Linked DNA regions of Cricetulus griseus. The protein of the gene in region 1 purifies or fractionates together with the protein of each later gene. This does not show direct contact. Links are inferred from orthologs where the notes say so. Each region holds a gene or a part of one and is shown in the gene's direction. Other genes may lie near its edges.

The links.
Region 2: the proteins of Vsx1 (region 1) and Wdr20 purify together in Homo sapiens (affinity purification with mass spectrometry; 3 studies listed by BioGRID and IntAct, with this or other methods). This does not show direct contact. The link is inferred for Cricetulus griseus from reciprocal best matches to the Homo sapiens genes VSX1 and WDR20.
Region 3: the proteins of Vsx1 (region 1) and Usp12 purify together in Homo sapiens (affinity purification with mass spectrometry; 3 studies listed by BioGRID and IntAct, counting the BioPlex papers as one, with this or other methods). This does not show direct contact. The link is inferred for Cricetulus griseus from reciprocal best matches to the Homo sapiens genes VSX1 and USP12.

What each region holds. Positions count from the first base shown.
Region 1 is NC_048599.1:29,003,462-29,007,183, forward strand, and holds the end of Vsx1 (visual system homeobox 1), read left to right. Parts: coding exon 1-78; intron 79-963; coding exon 964-1,144; intron 1,145-2,287; coding exon 2,288-2,580; downstream 2,581-3,722. UniProt on the Homo sapiens protein: Binds to the 37-bp core of the locus control region (LCR) of the red/green visual pigment gene cluster. May regulate the activity of the LCR and the cone opsin genes at earlier stages of development. Dispensable in early retinal development.
Region 2 is NC_048598.1:183,239,363-183,243,776, reverse strand, and holds part of Wdr20 (WD repeat-containing protein 20), read left to right. Parts: intron 1-3,173; coding exon 3,174-3,356; intron 3,357-4,414. UniProt on the Homo sapiens protein: Regulator of deubiquitinating complexes. Activates deubiquitinating activity of complexes containing USP12. Anchors at the base of the ubiquitin-contacting loop of USP12 and remotely modulates the catalytic center of the enzyme.
Region 3 is NC_048597.1:82,584,941-82,589,354, reverse strand, and holds part of Usp12 (ubiquitin carboxyl-terminal hydrolase 12), read left to right. Parts: intron 1-1,546; coding exon 1,547-1,623; intron 1,624-1,728; coding exon 1,729-1,812; intron 1,813-4,414. UniProt on the Homo sapiens protein: Deubiquitinating enzyme that plays various roles in the regulation of the immune response and inflammation.

The sequences.
Region 1 (3,722 bases):
GGTGAGGCTCACTACCCTGACGTGTATGCCCGGGAAATGCTCGCTGTGAAAACAGAGCTCCCCGAAGACCGAATACAGGTGTGGAGTGGTGTCCTTTCTCTTTTCTTTAACCTACCCTCAGATAGTACACAATTTGTGAGCCATCAAGATGGCCTAGTGGGGTAAGGCACCTGCCACCAAAATGATTTACACCTGAGTTGGATCCCTGGTACCCACTTGGGAGGAGAGCACTAATTCTTGTAAATTTTCTCTGGCATCATTATGTGTGCTGTGTCACTCCAACATCTAAACTCATGCACACAAAATTAATGAAAAATGGTGTTTCAAAAAAAAAATCACACAATTTGTATGCTGGACTGGAAAACTGCATGAAGACATATCAGCAAAAATGTTTAGCTCTCGTCTTTAGTTCTTAAAGACATCACCATATGCGTCCAGCCTGAGTAGGTGCCACACGGTGCTGCCAGTGTGTCATAGGGTATCCATCCTGAAAGTTCTCTTGTGCTGGCGGATGTGCTCTGTTGGAAGAGTTGCCAGTGACTTGCTGCCCTAAGCTTCAGGTTATCGTGTATTGTTTAAATTAATGCACTTTTCTTCAGGAGAAATAGCAGCAGTCCATCAGTCTGAGATTTGAAGGGGCCATTGCCCCTGCAGACCTCCTAAACAGAAAAATCAGGAAACACAGGGGGCCGCCCCTTCATAAACACCCTGCAGGAAAGGGTCCTTTTCATTCTTTATTTTTGCTTCCTGGCTTCTTAGAAAATTTCACAGGAAGCGACTCCTGTCTCATCCTCATGATGCTGTGTCCATGCAGGTTTGGGGGGCTGCTTTCAGGCCTGTGGGTGGGGGACAGGCCTTTTGTTTGTAGACCCAGAGTCCTGGAGCGCACGCGTGCCCCTCCAGGCACCCCTTTTCATAGTGTCTCTCCTTGAGCCTCTCGGACTCCCCTCTGCCTCTAACCAGGTCTGGTTCCAGAACCGGAGAGCCAAGTGGCGTAAGCGAGAGAAGCGCTGGGGAGGCAGCAGCGTGATGGCTGAGTATGGACTCTACGGGGCCATGGTGCGCCACTGCATTCCGCTGCCAGATTCTCTGCTCAACTCGGCGGCGGATAGCCTGCAGGGCTCCTGTGCGCCCTGGCTTCTGGGTAAGCCAGGCTAAGAACAAAGCCAGAGAGTTGGGCGGGGACCTTACAGGAGATTTGCAAGAGCAAAGCAGGAGAGGTCTCAGATTTAGGCCCAGTCTGGACTCTAATTTGTCTTTAATTAGCCTTAATTTTCCTTGGAACTGTGGAGGCAGTGTGTGGGATAGTCCTCATAGGCTACTCATATTGGTCAATATGTATTCAAAACTTATAAATAGAGAGACTTGCCTTGTGTTTGATACATACTTTCAAAGTGGTGAATGCTACTAGAGAGTTTAGAAACTATATGGTTTAGAGTGCAAGGTTTATAGGACCACGCAGAGCAGAGACAATCTAGAGCAGTCCCTTCTGTTGGCACCACTGAAGTAATAGGCCAGGTCTTGGGCCTGATTTAACAAACCTGCCCTAGGGTAGTGCCTCACTGGTAGGGCCAAGCCCTTTCTGGTGCTTACCCTTGATGATCTGTTGGGGTTCAGAGTTGAGATTTCAGAGGCTTGAGTCACAAGATGATCACTACCAGAAAATTAGTTAGGTGGGTCATAGTGGGATTTTAGGTTGGGAAAGTCCAGCAAACAGCTTTCTGGCTAGGTGCTGTGCTGAGAACTGAGAACAGCCTGGACTTTGCCTAAGGACCAAAGAGATTAGAGAGAAGTGGGGATGGAGAACCAATGCCCATGTCACAAATAGGGGTACTTGCTGGCATGGGACTTCAGTCATACAAGCAAGTGAGTTTAGTGCTAAACTAGGGTCACTTTGTTATTCAAGCAAATGCAAAGTTACTGTGTGACCCAACAAAGCAATTTTGCAAGAGTGACAGCTGGTGGATAGGGTCTTCTCCACCCCAATGATGGTGGCTCTCCTCTAGGCTCTAGACCAGCACTGACAAAGAAAATTCTAGTGATAGAAATAATAGTGGTAAGAAAGGAATATATTTACTTGCTGAATTTAAAGATATTTTTTTGAGCCTGGTGTGGTGGCACATGCCTTTGATCTGAGTACGTGGGATAGAGGCAGGTGGATCTCTGTGAGTTTGAGGTCAGCCTGTTCTACATAGCAAGATCCAGGACAGTTGGAACTGCACAGACAGACCCTGCCTCAAAACAAAACAAAGCAATTTTTGTTGTTGTTGTTGATTTTATTTTCCAGGGATGCATAAAAAGTCTGCAGGAATGAGGAAACCAGAAAGTGAAGACAAGCTAGGAGGACTCTGGGGTTTTGACCACATCAAGGAGGGTGCTAATAAGGGCCAGGATGGACCTGAAAAAGGCCCAGATAAAACAAGCCTGGACCCCGAGGATAGCTTGGAAGATGTGGCCATTGACTTGTCCAGCTCTTCTAGGCAGGAGACGAAGAAAATGCCCCCGGAGTCCAATGCTCAGGGATGTTCCCATGACCCAGGGCTGCAGGTGCTCCAGCCCCCAAAAGTGGAATCCTCATGAGACCAACAGATCACCCCCTCCAAAAATAGGAAAAATGCATATTTCTCTTGAACAATTTTTGGAGACAAAACTGGTCTAAGACAAACACCTTCAATTTGGTTTTCTTCCTGAAACATCTGGATAAATGGTGATCTAGGGAAAGTTCCATTTAATTCTAGAATGGAGAACATTCGTACAAGCTCTTGAATTAGTCAATTTGGTCTAAAACTTTGTTATTCCTTTGTAGAATTTGAACAGGGAAGATTTGAAGTTCACACATAATTTTAGGGATGGGGTATGATGTAGCTCAGTTGACAGTACACAGGAAAGCCTGGGGCCAGTCCCCAGCACCACATGTAAGATGTGGTATTGTACACCTGTAGTCCCAGTACTCAGTAGGTAGAAATAAGGGATCAGGTGTTCAAGACCATCCCAGTTTTAGGTCAACCTGGGCTATACAAGATCTGAGAGAGACAGATAGATAGATAGATAGATAGATAGATAGATAGACAGACAGACAGATAGATAGATATTATTACCACCTGTATCATTTGAGATGTGATTCAATCATTAAGAGGGCTCTTCACTCCAAGTTAGAACATTTGGTTTGGTTTAATGAGACAGGGTCTTGCCGTGCAGCCCAGGTTGGCTTCAATTTTGGATCTCTTGCCTCAGCCTCTCCAGTACTGGGGTTACAGGTGTGAATATAATTCCTAGGAGAAGTTTCTAAACAGATGAATAAATGAATGAATGAATGCTATGTCACCTTTCCTTGACCTGGCTCTTAGACATTCTCATTTTCATGGTAGGCAGTAATTTTGTATTCTGAGTGTTAAGTGATAGGCCTTGAATATTCAGTGCTTAAACAGCAAAGAAGACCATACTTGCCTCCTCTGAAGTCACCTGAAGACATGTTTAGGCAATTGTTAAATATCTAGAGACTGAAGATCAGACCTGATTTCTTGGTCCTTTTGAATTTATGTTTGGAAGCACTTTAGTGACTTGAATTAATGAATGTTTTCTTTCCTGTATGTCCTTTGCCGTTTATTTATTATTTAAAAATAAATGCATGGTGTGTCTGGCTCAAGGCTATTTGCTGGTTCCCTGATGGGATCTCCCCTCCTGTCTGTTTCTTTGGAAGCATGCACAGCAGGTTGTCTTTC
Region 2 (4,414 bases), on another chromosome or scaffold:
GTCGGCCGATTCCCTAGTGGGATTATTTAATTTTATTTAAAAAAGATTTATTTATGTACAAGAATGTTTTACTTAGCCAGGCATGGTGGTGTAGGCAAAAAAAAAGAATGTTTTATTTGCATGTATATGTGTGCCATGTGTGTGCCTGGTGCCCCATAAGGCCAGAAGAGGGTATTGACTCCTCCTAAACTGGAGTTAGTTGGGAACTGCCATGTGGGTGCTGGAACTTGAACCCAGGTCCTCTGGAAGAGCAGCCAGTGCTCTTCACAACTGAGCCATCTCTCCAGTCCTCTTGGTTTTTTAAGAACTGGGATCAGGTCCCACTGTTGAGCCCTGACTGGTCTTGATTGAGTGACACAGCCTTCCAAGTGCTGAGAATTCGGGTGTGGACACCAGAGCTGGGGGTTTAAATTTGCATTTGTTTCTTTTTGAAATGGGGTGTCACACTAAAGCTCAGGCTAGCCTGGAATTTGTGAATTTCTGGCCTTAGCCTGGATCGAGGGATGTTGGTTTGGATTTGGGTTTTGTGTTGTTTGAGACCAGACTCAAATGGCATAAGTTAGTCACTAGCTTTGAATTTTGTTGTTATTTTGTGACAAGATCTCATTTTACCAGGCTGACCTCCAGCTCTCTTTATAACTGAGGATAACCTTGAATTTCTGGTCAGCTTGCTCTGCTCCCCAAGTGCTAAGATCTCTGTCTGCTCTGGCATCACCACTGTGCCTGGCAAGTATGTATTTTTAAAGCATTACTTGAAGGTTTTTACTAAATTGAGCTAATGAGTATACGGATACACTGACACTTTATTTTGTGATCAGTAACTCATCATGTGCAGAACTAGTATGCTGTCCGAACAGTGACTACAATCAAGAGTAACTATAGCTCCTTCAGTAAATATTGAGTGTCTGTGATATTGTGGGTACTCTATTGAGGCTGGAAATCAATGGGACACATTTTTTTTTTTTAAGATTTTATTTATTTATTATGTATACTACATTCTGCTTCCATGTATATGTGCACACCAGAAGAGGGCGCCAGATCTCATAATGGATGGTGTGAGCCACCTTGTGGTTGCTGGGAATTGAACTCGGGACCTCTGGAAGAGCAGTCGGTGCTCTTAACCTCTGAGCCATCTCTCCAGCCCAAAATGAATTTTTTTTTTGTTTTGTTTTGTTTTTCGAGACAGGGTTTCTCTGTGTAGCTTTGGAGCCTTTCCTGGCACTCGCTCTGGAAATCAGGCTGGCCTCGAACTCACAGAGATCCACCTGCCTCTGCCTCCCGAGTGCTGGGATTAAAGGTGTGCGCCACAAATGCCTGGCCATAATTCTTTTTTTAACCTTGTTTTTATTGAGCTATACACTTCCCCCCACTCCTCTTCCCTCTTCCACTATCCCCCGCCCCCCGCCCCCATGCCTCTCATGCTCCCCTAACTAGGCAGATATGTCTATGTCTCTCTGAGGGTCCTCTGTGTTGCCTAGGCTCTCTGGGGTTATGGACTGTATCCTGGGTTATCCTTTGCTTTATGTCTAATGAGTCAATACATATTATATTTGTCTTTTTGGGTCTGAGTTACCTCACTCAGGATTTTTTTTTTCCCTAGTTCTGTCCATTTGAGGACATGAATCTTTTTCTTTTTCTTTTTCCGAGACAGGGTTTCTCTGTGCAGCTTTGGAGCATACATATCCTGGCACTCACTCTATAGATCAGGCTGGCCTCGAACTCAGGGATCTTGCCTGCCTTTGTTTCTCAAGTGCTGGGATTAAAGGTGAGCACCTCAGCTGTGCTTTAACGGAGGCAAAGCTGGGAGGGTAGCCTGCCTCTTTTGTGCTGGGCTCCCATGACCACACAGCCCTCTCGGGTACTAGCTGTGAAACCCTCTGTTTCTAGCTTGCTCAAAGTCACTCACAATTTTGAAGTCCTCTTTTCTACTCAGTATTTGTTACTTGAGAAGCAAACAGAGTTAAGTCGTATAAAGTACCACAGGTCCCTTTGGACGGAAGCAGGGAACTGGGGCCTGAAGTAAAGAACAGACTGAGAGAGAGGCATGCATAGGAGTGATGTTGTCTCCACCTGCAGTTTTATCTTTTCCTTTGTATGTACTTAAGTGTGTCTGTGTAGGAGTGTGCGTGTGTGGTCATTAGGCTTGTTGACAAGCACTGGTACCTACTGAGCTTTTTCACAGGCCCTCCACCTATGATTTTTAAACATAGGGGATATGGCTTGCCTTCGTTCAATAGAAACAACCTAGTTTATTGCACTTACATGGGACATTTCTTGGAAAAAAGGGAAACCTAGTGGCCTGAGTTGAGTCTGCATGACCCTCCTCATGGAGTTAGAGCACTGACCTGTATGCTCCCTATGGCACCTCTGTGTGCACACGCACAATAAATGTTAAAAAAGATTTAAGGGTATGGCGTGCAGACACATTGACCTTACAGTGCTTCCAATCTGTTTTCTCCCCATCTGCTTATGATCAGCACTAGCCAGGCAGGACAGTGACTGCTCTCGATGTAGGATGTTACAGGGTTGCTGTAAGCAGTGAGGTGACGGCAGCAGAGAGAGAAGCCCCCGGCAGAGCTTCTCAGATCTTGATGCATCCGGGGGCACCCCATCACCTGGGAGCCTTATAAAACTGCGATTGTGGGTTACTCCCGTTATTTCTAATGCACAGGGTCTGGGAAGGGGTTTGAGAATTTGTATTTTGAGTTTCCAGTTGATGCTGCTGCCTGCCAGTCTGTACACATTTTGAGCACCATTAGCTCTAGGTAGCTGGGCAGTGGGTACTCGGGTACTGTAGACATACCTGAGTTGTGTTGTGTATGCACTGACTTACTCTATTAGAATTCTTGGAAGACATTTGGAAAAATGGAATTTAGGATCAGAGACGTTTTCTTTCTGAAACTGGGGAGTCCTTGTTACACATATTTGAAAGACGAAAAATTGTGGAAACAACAGTCACAAATGAATATTTTATAGATAGACTATCTAGTTGGCTACATATGTGAAATTGCTTTTATAAAATATGAAGTGAGTTATTTTAAGTCACAGTTGAAGCAATATTTTAAATAACTTTGTTTTTAAAATTGAAGTTCATAATGGAGTATAAAATAGTTGAACTTAGCTTGCTCATCTCAATGTGCTGTTTACTGTATTTATTTTTCTTTCTCCTCCAGGCTGCTGACTTGAGTAAACCAATAGATAAAAGGATATACAAAGGAACACAGCCTACCTGTCATGACTTCAACCACCTAACAGCCACAGCAGAAAGTGTCTCTCTCCTAGTGGGCTTTTCCGCAGGCCAAGTCCAGCTCATAGACCCCATCAAAAAAGAAACTAGCAAGCTGTTTAATGAGGAAGTAAGTAGCACCCCACCTGAGCTGTTGACCCCTGTAAGAGTTGCTCTGTTCTTACTCAAGGGTAGCGGGCCTTAGTTTACATGTTGAGCTGATCGGTTTTCATCTGCTCTGCAGTCCTTACCTCATATCATGCAAGTTTAAATGTTGTAGGTTAGTATTTGAGCTTGTTTTTCCTTAAGGTCATAGTTGTGAACTTGTGCAGAGAATGACCAGCCATCTACACAGATACCTTAATCCCTCTGCATGGTGACTGGGGAGATGGCTCAGTGGGTACAGTGTCACTTGGGATTTCCAGCACCCACATAAAGCCAGGCATGGCCAGTTGTCTTGAATCCCAGCCCACAGAAGTGGAGACAGAAGGATGCCAGGGACTCACCACTCAGCTAGTCTAGATGACAGTCAGTGAGCTCCAAGAGAACCTGTTTCAAGAAATAAAGACACAAAACAGTGTCTCCTCAGGTGTGTGCCTCCTGTGCACATGTGTGTATGTGCACACACGTCATTTCTGTGATGGAGACAAGCATATTGGTAACTTGAGATGTGATTTCTGTTTTGTTTTGAGGCGGGGTCTTACTGTGTAGCCCTGACTGACCTGGAACTCACAGAGATCTGTCTGCCTTCGCCTCCCAAGTGCTGAGATTAAAGGTGTGCGCCACCATACCCAGCTGTTGATATGCTTTTTTTTGGTTTGTTTGGTTTTTTTGGTTTTTTGAGACAGGGTTTCTCTGTGTAGCTCTGGAGCCTGTCCTGGAACTCGCTCTGGAGACTGGGCTGGCCTCAAACTCACAGAGATCCGCCTGCCTCTGCCTCACGAGTGCTGGGATTAAAGGCGTGTGCCACCAACGCCCGCTATATGCATATTTCAAATAAAATACAGAATTTCAGTCATTCTCCAGGTCACTAAAGAATTACACATAGATGGAATGACTTGGTGACATGCCTTAACACTACTTACATTATACCTTAAACTTCTGTGTGCATTTGACAAACGTTTGGAATGCTAAGGGTTAAGCTCATGCTCTTGAAATTTCTTCTACAATTACCTTTGGCATGGTTAG
Region 3 (4,414 bases), on another chromosome or scaffold:
GGTTGCCAAGAATGAGATAGCCCTGTACTAGGAAATAAATATATTCCTTTTCCTGAGTAACTTAGTGGTGGATCTTATCTGGGTCAGGGAAGAGGTGGATTTGGCATCAGTCTGAAGCTGCTCCGCCACTACAGAAGACCAGCTGTGGTGTGAGCCCTTTTTCATTGCCTGAAGCAACAGTTCCTTGCAGGACAATGTTTAGATTGCTGGTTTATTACAGTGGTATTACTATTCCCATTGGAATAGTAGATATGGTCAGGGAATTGGACAGGGTTTTTTATGTTTATTATTATAGACTTTGATCTGACATCATTATATATGATTCAGTCTTCAATGAAACAAAATAGTTACTTGTTGAGAAGTGTAGTAATAGGTGAGATTTATATGGTAGATTTGGGACCTCCAGAGGCCTCTGGGAGACTTGTGGAGTGCTCTGCCAGGACTTTGAAGTCAGGTTTGTATTGGATGGGGGAGGATAGAGAAGAAACAGTTGAAGGAGGTGGTGACATCAGCCATTCTGTTCAAAGTGTTTGAATGTTTATTCATGTTATTAACTCTTAAGGGGTGGGCTCTGTTTTTCTACTAGTAAGTTCTTCTGTGGCCTGCAGTATGTATTGCAGAGAACTTCCTTAAACTAAGCCAGCAGTATGCATATTCACAAGTAATCATGTTCCTGCCGTTATAAGCTAGCGGGGTGAAATCTGGGCTCTTTCCAGAGTGTGTAAATGTACATCACTTCTTTCTTTGGTCTCACCCACATTTAAGAAGCAGCCCTGCCAGAAAGAAGGGGAGAGGAGAATGGTAGATGGTTGTTAGGCTGGGAGTCTGACCCCCAAGATGCCTAGCAGGAACAAAGACCGCCCAACAGTGTCCAGACAGGGTTAGAGCAGAGGCAGGGATGGCCTGCATAGATCCTATCAGGAGTAAGTGTGCAGTGAGTGCAGTGGGAGTGTCGAGGGGGAACCAGCTGCCCGCAGGAGCTAACTGGGGCAGGCTGCAGCTCTGCCCTGCTCTATGAAGGTTACTCTAACCTGAATTCCTTGCCTTGCCTTTCTACATTTTTCTCCTTAAATGTGGGTGCTCTGTGAATTTCATTGTATGTCGGTTGTCATTCTGCATCAGGGACATGGTGTTCCATGTTCATTATCACACGTCCCAGTGAGTCCCATCCGGATGGATCTTCTGACATGAGGATCTAGTTCACTGCACTGGGCATGTTCAGAAGTGAAATGCTGCCTCACCGGTGACAGCCTGTGCTTCTCAGAACCACAGTGTGATACCGTGTACTTCACACATCACCGCCCCAGGAAGCTGTGAAACTCTTCTTCCTGGCCTCAGCCAGTCAGATGCTTAGGGGACTTTGATGTCTTCCCATACAGGAGATGTGACAGGTGGACACTGGTTCGCTGCCTTTTAGGTACTCCAGACCAAGTAGTTGTCTTTTGAGCGTAAGGAGGAAGAATTGCTTAGTCTGTTGGTAGATTCATTTAACCTATCAGCTGGAAACTGTGGTTCCTGGCAATTGAAATAACTACTGTATTTACAGATAAGCAGCAAAGATGAAGATTTTTTAGACCTTTCTGTTGACGTGGAACAAAACACATCAATTACTCACTGCTTAAGGTTTGTGTAGAAGTATTTCTTTTGCAATTTAATATTTACTTTTGGCATAGAATATTAAGTGAATTTTTCAAGTATACCTAACAAGTTCATTTGCATTTTTCACAGAGGTTTTAGTAACACAGAAACTCTGTGCAGTGAATATAAATACTACTGTGAAGAGTGCCGAAGCAAACAGGAAGCACACAAACGGTAATTTAGTGTCTTCTAAGTTAGATTGTATTATTGTGTGTACGCATGTGTGTGCAATAGCACCATGGTTAGATTGTATTATTACTGTGAGTGTGTGTGATGGCACCATGGTTAGATTGTATTATTACTGTGAGTGTGTGCAATGGCACCATGGTTAGATTGTATTATTATTGAGTGTGTGTGATGGCACCATGGTTAGATTGTATTATTACTGTGAGTGTGTGCAATGGCACCATGGTTAGATTGTATTATTATTGTGAGTGTGTGCAATGGCACCATGGTTAGATTGTATTACTATTGTGAGTGTGTGCAATGGCACCATGGTTAGATTGTATTACTATTGTGAGTGTGTGCAATGGCACTATGCACAGAGATCAGAACACTGCATTCAGGAGTCTGTTACCATCTAGGGATTGGACTTAGGTTTCAGGCTTGCATGGCAAGCTGTTTTACCCACTGAACTATTTTGCCAGTCTCTTTTGAAATTATTTGAATGATTCTTTGGCCATAGATGTTGAGGGTAGTCTTTTCTATCTGAAAGTGATCTGCAGAAGTGTATGTATGTACATTGAATGCTCATTCTTAGGGGTGTGTATGTGTGTGCAGAGGCAGAAGAGGACATTGAACATTGGGTTTTCTGTTCCATTGCTCTCTGCCTTATTTTCCCTCTGACAGGGTCTGTTACTGAACCCGAGCTCAGTTTTGTGGATAGCCATCCAGCCAGCAAGCTCACGTGATACTTCTGTCTCTGTGCTTACCTCCCCCCCCCCGTGTGTGTGTGTTGTGTGTGTGTGTGTGTGTGTGTGTGTGTGTGTGTGTGTGTTGCAGGGTCTCGCTATGTAGTCCGGACTGCCTTAGAACTCCCTGTGTAGACCAGGCTGTCTTCAAACTCAGATCTGTCTGCCTCTGCCTTCTGAGTGCTGGGATTACAGCGTACACCACCATACCTTTCTCTGGGTTTTGTTCTTTTTTAAACACATGGATACTAGGGATCCAAACCCAGGTTCTCATGTTTGCATAGCAAGCATTCTTATCTGCTGAGCCATCTCTCCAGTCCCATATTCTTAATGTTAGTGTTAGCAATTAAGGCTCAGTGAGAATTGCTAGATGAGCAATGCCCAGTCTGGAACCATATATCTATGATTCATATCACCAGTTTTTTGGCTTAGATGTCTTAGAAAGGAGTCTTGCAGATATGTATCTTGTTAAGTGTCACATATTTGTAGTATGTCTTGGGTGTTTGAGTGTCCCTGTGCTTATGATTTTCTAGGACTTGGTACCTGGTATATAGTCATGCTCACAGTTAAGATTATCACAGAAAAAGATACAGAGCAAAGGGCAAAGCCAGGCAGGCTTCCAAGAGGCCCTGATCCAGTGAAGTGACACAGGACACCGAATTTCCCCTCTCTTAATGATATCATGGGAAGCTCTTTGCGGGCTCCATGCCCAGGGTTCCTATATGTACTTGTCACATAGGCAAATGCCTGTGCTACCTTGCTCCAAATTCCAGGATCTCAGAAGGGGAGCAGGTATTCAGAATAATACTGATCAAGCAGTTGGGGCCCAGGGGGTTAACTGACATACATGGGATTTGAGGTGCTCCTTAGCTCCCAAGTGCCCAAGTGCCGCTTACTGTACCAGTCCTAGAGCCAGGCTTCTTGGGGGTGGGCTGGCCATTCTGAATCTGCACATATGACACTGCTGTTGCCTCTGCCACTGAACTCTCAGTTAAGATGATTCCTGTAATTCTGCATGTAAACTACACTTTCCCCTGTTGTAATTTTTAAGTACTTAGTGTAGAGATATGCAAAGATTGCAAATACTTCATTCTTCATTAAACTGCCATTTGAAAAACTTCAGGTACACTCAGACATCCCTGTTGGAGTGGGTTATCATTTACTACTGTTCTGTGTCCCTGTAACTACAGTTCAGCTGATGGTGAGGGAGGTCTCTGGTGGCTCTTCTGCCCCACTGTCTCATCACGTTCTGAGCTCAGCTGAATTTCTTGTACTTACCTTGAAACGAGCCATTTCTGTGAAGGGCCCTGGTCCTGTTCAGGGAAAGTGACATTCGAAAGCCAGGGCTCCATGAATGTGTGCCTTGCTGTTCAGATGTCACTATTCCTGAGCCCTTCCTGAACTGAGCAGAGGATGTACTCAAAACTGAATGGGCTTCATTGCGATGTCTCCTTTTTAACTTTTGGAATCCCCTCTCTGATAGTGAAGATTGGCTCTGTCATCTTTGTTTTTTGGTTGGTAGCCATATAAGTAACCAATCTCTTTCCCAGCCTGACCCTCTTCCATTCCTCCTGCTGATGCCCTCAGTCTGCAGCACCTCCCTTCTTTGCTTACACAGACTGCTCTTTTTTTGAGCCCATATAACAGTCCAACTGTATTGCTCATAAAAGGAAGAAAAGTAAGCCAAAAATGGGGCATGGAGCAGTATAGGAGTCAAAGTGAACATGTAAAGTCCCAATGGACAGTTGGATAGAATAAATGGGAGCTTTGCTTTTAAAAGAATTGTTTATTGAGTGAGGATTGTAAGGCAACCTTGGGAGAAATAGCATTGAAGAAGAAAGCAAATACTATATTAGAATGTTTCA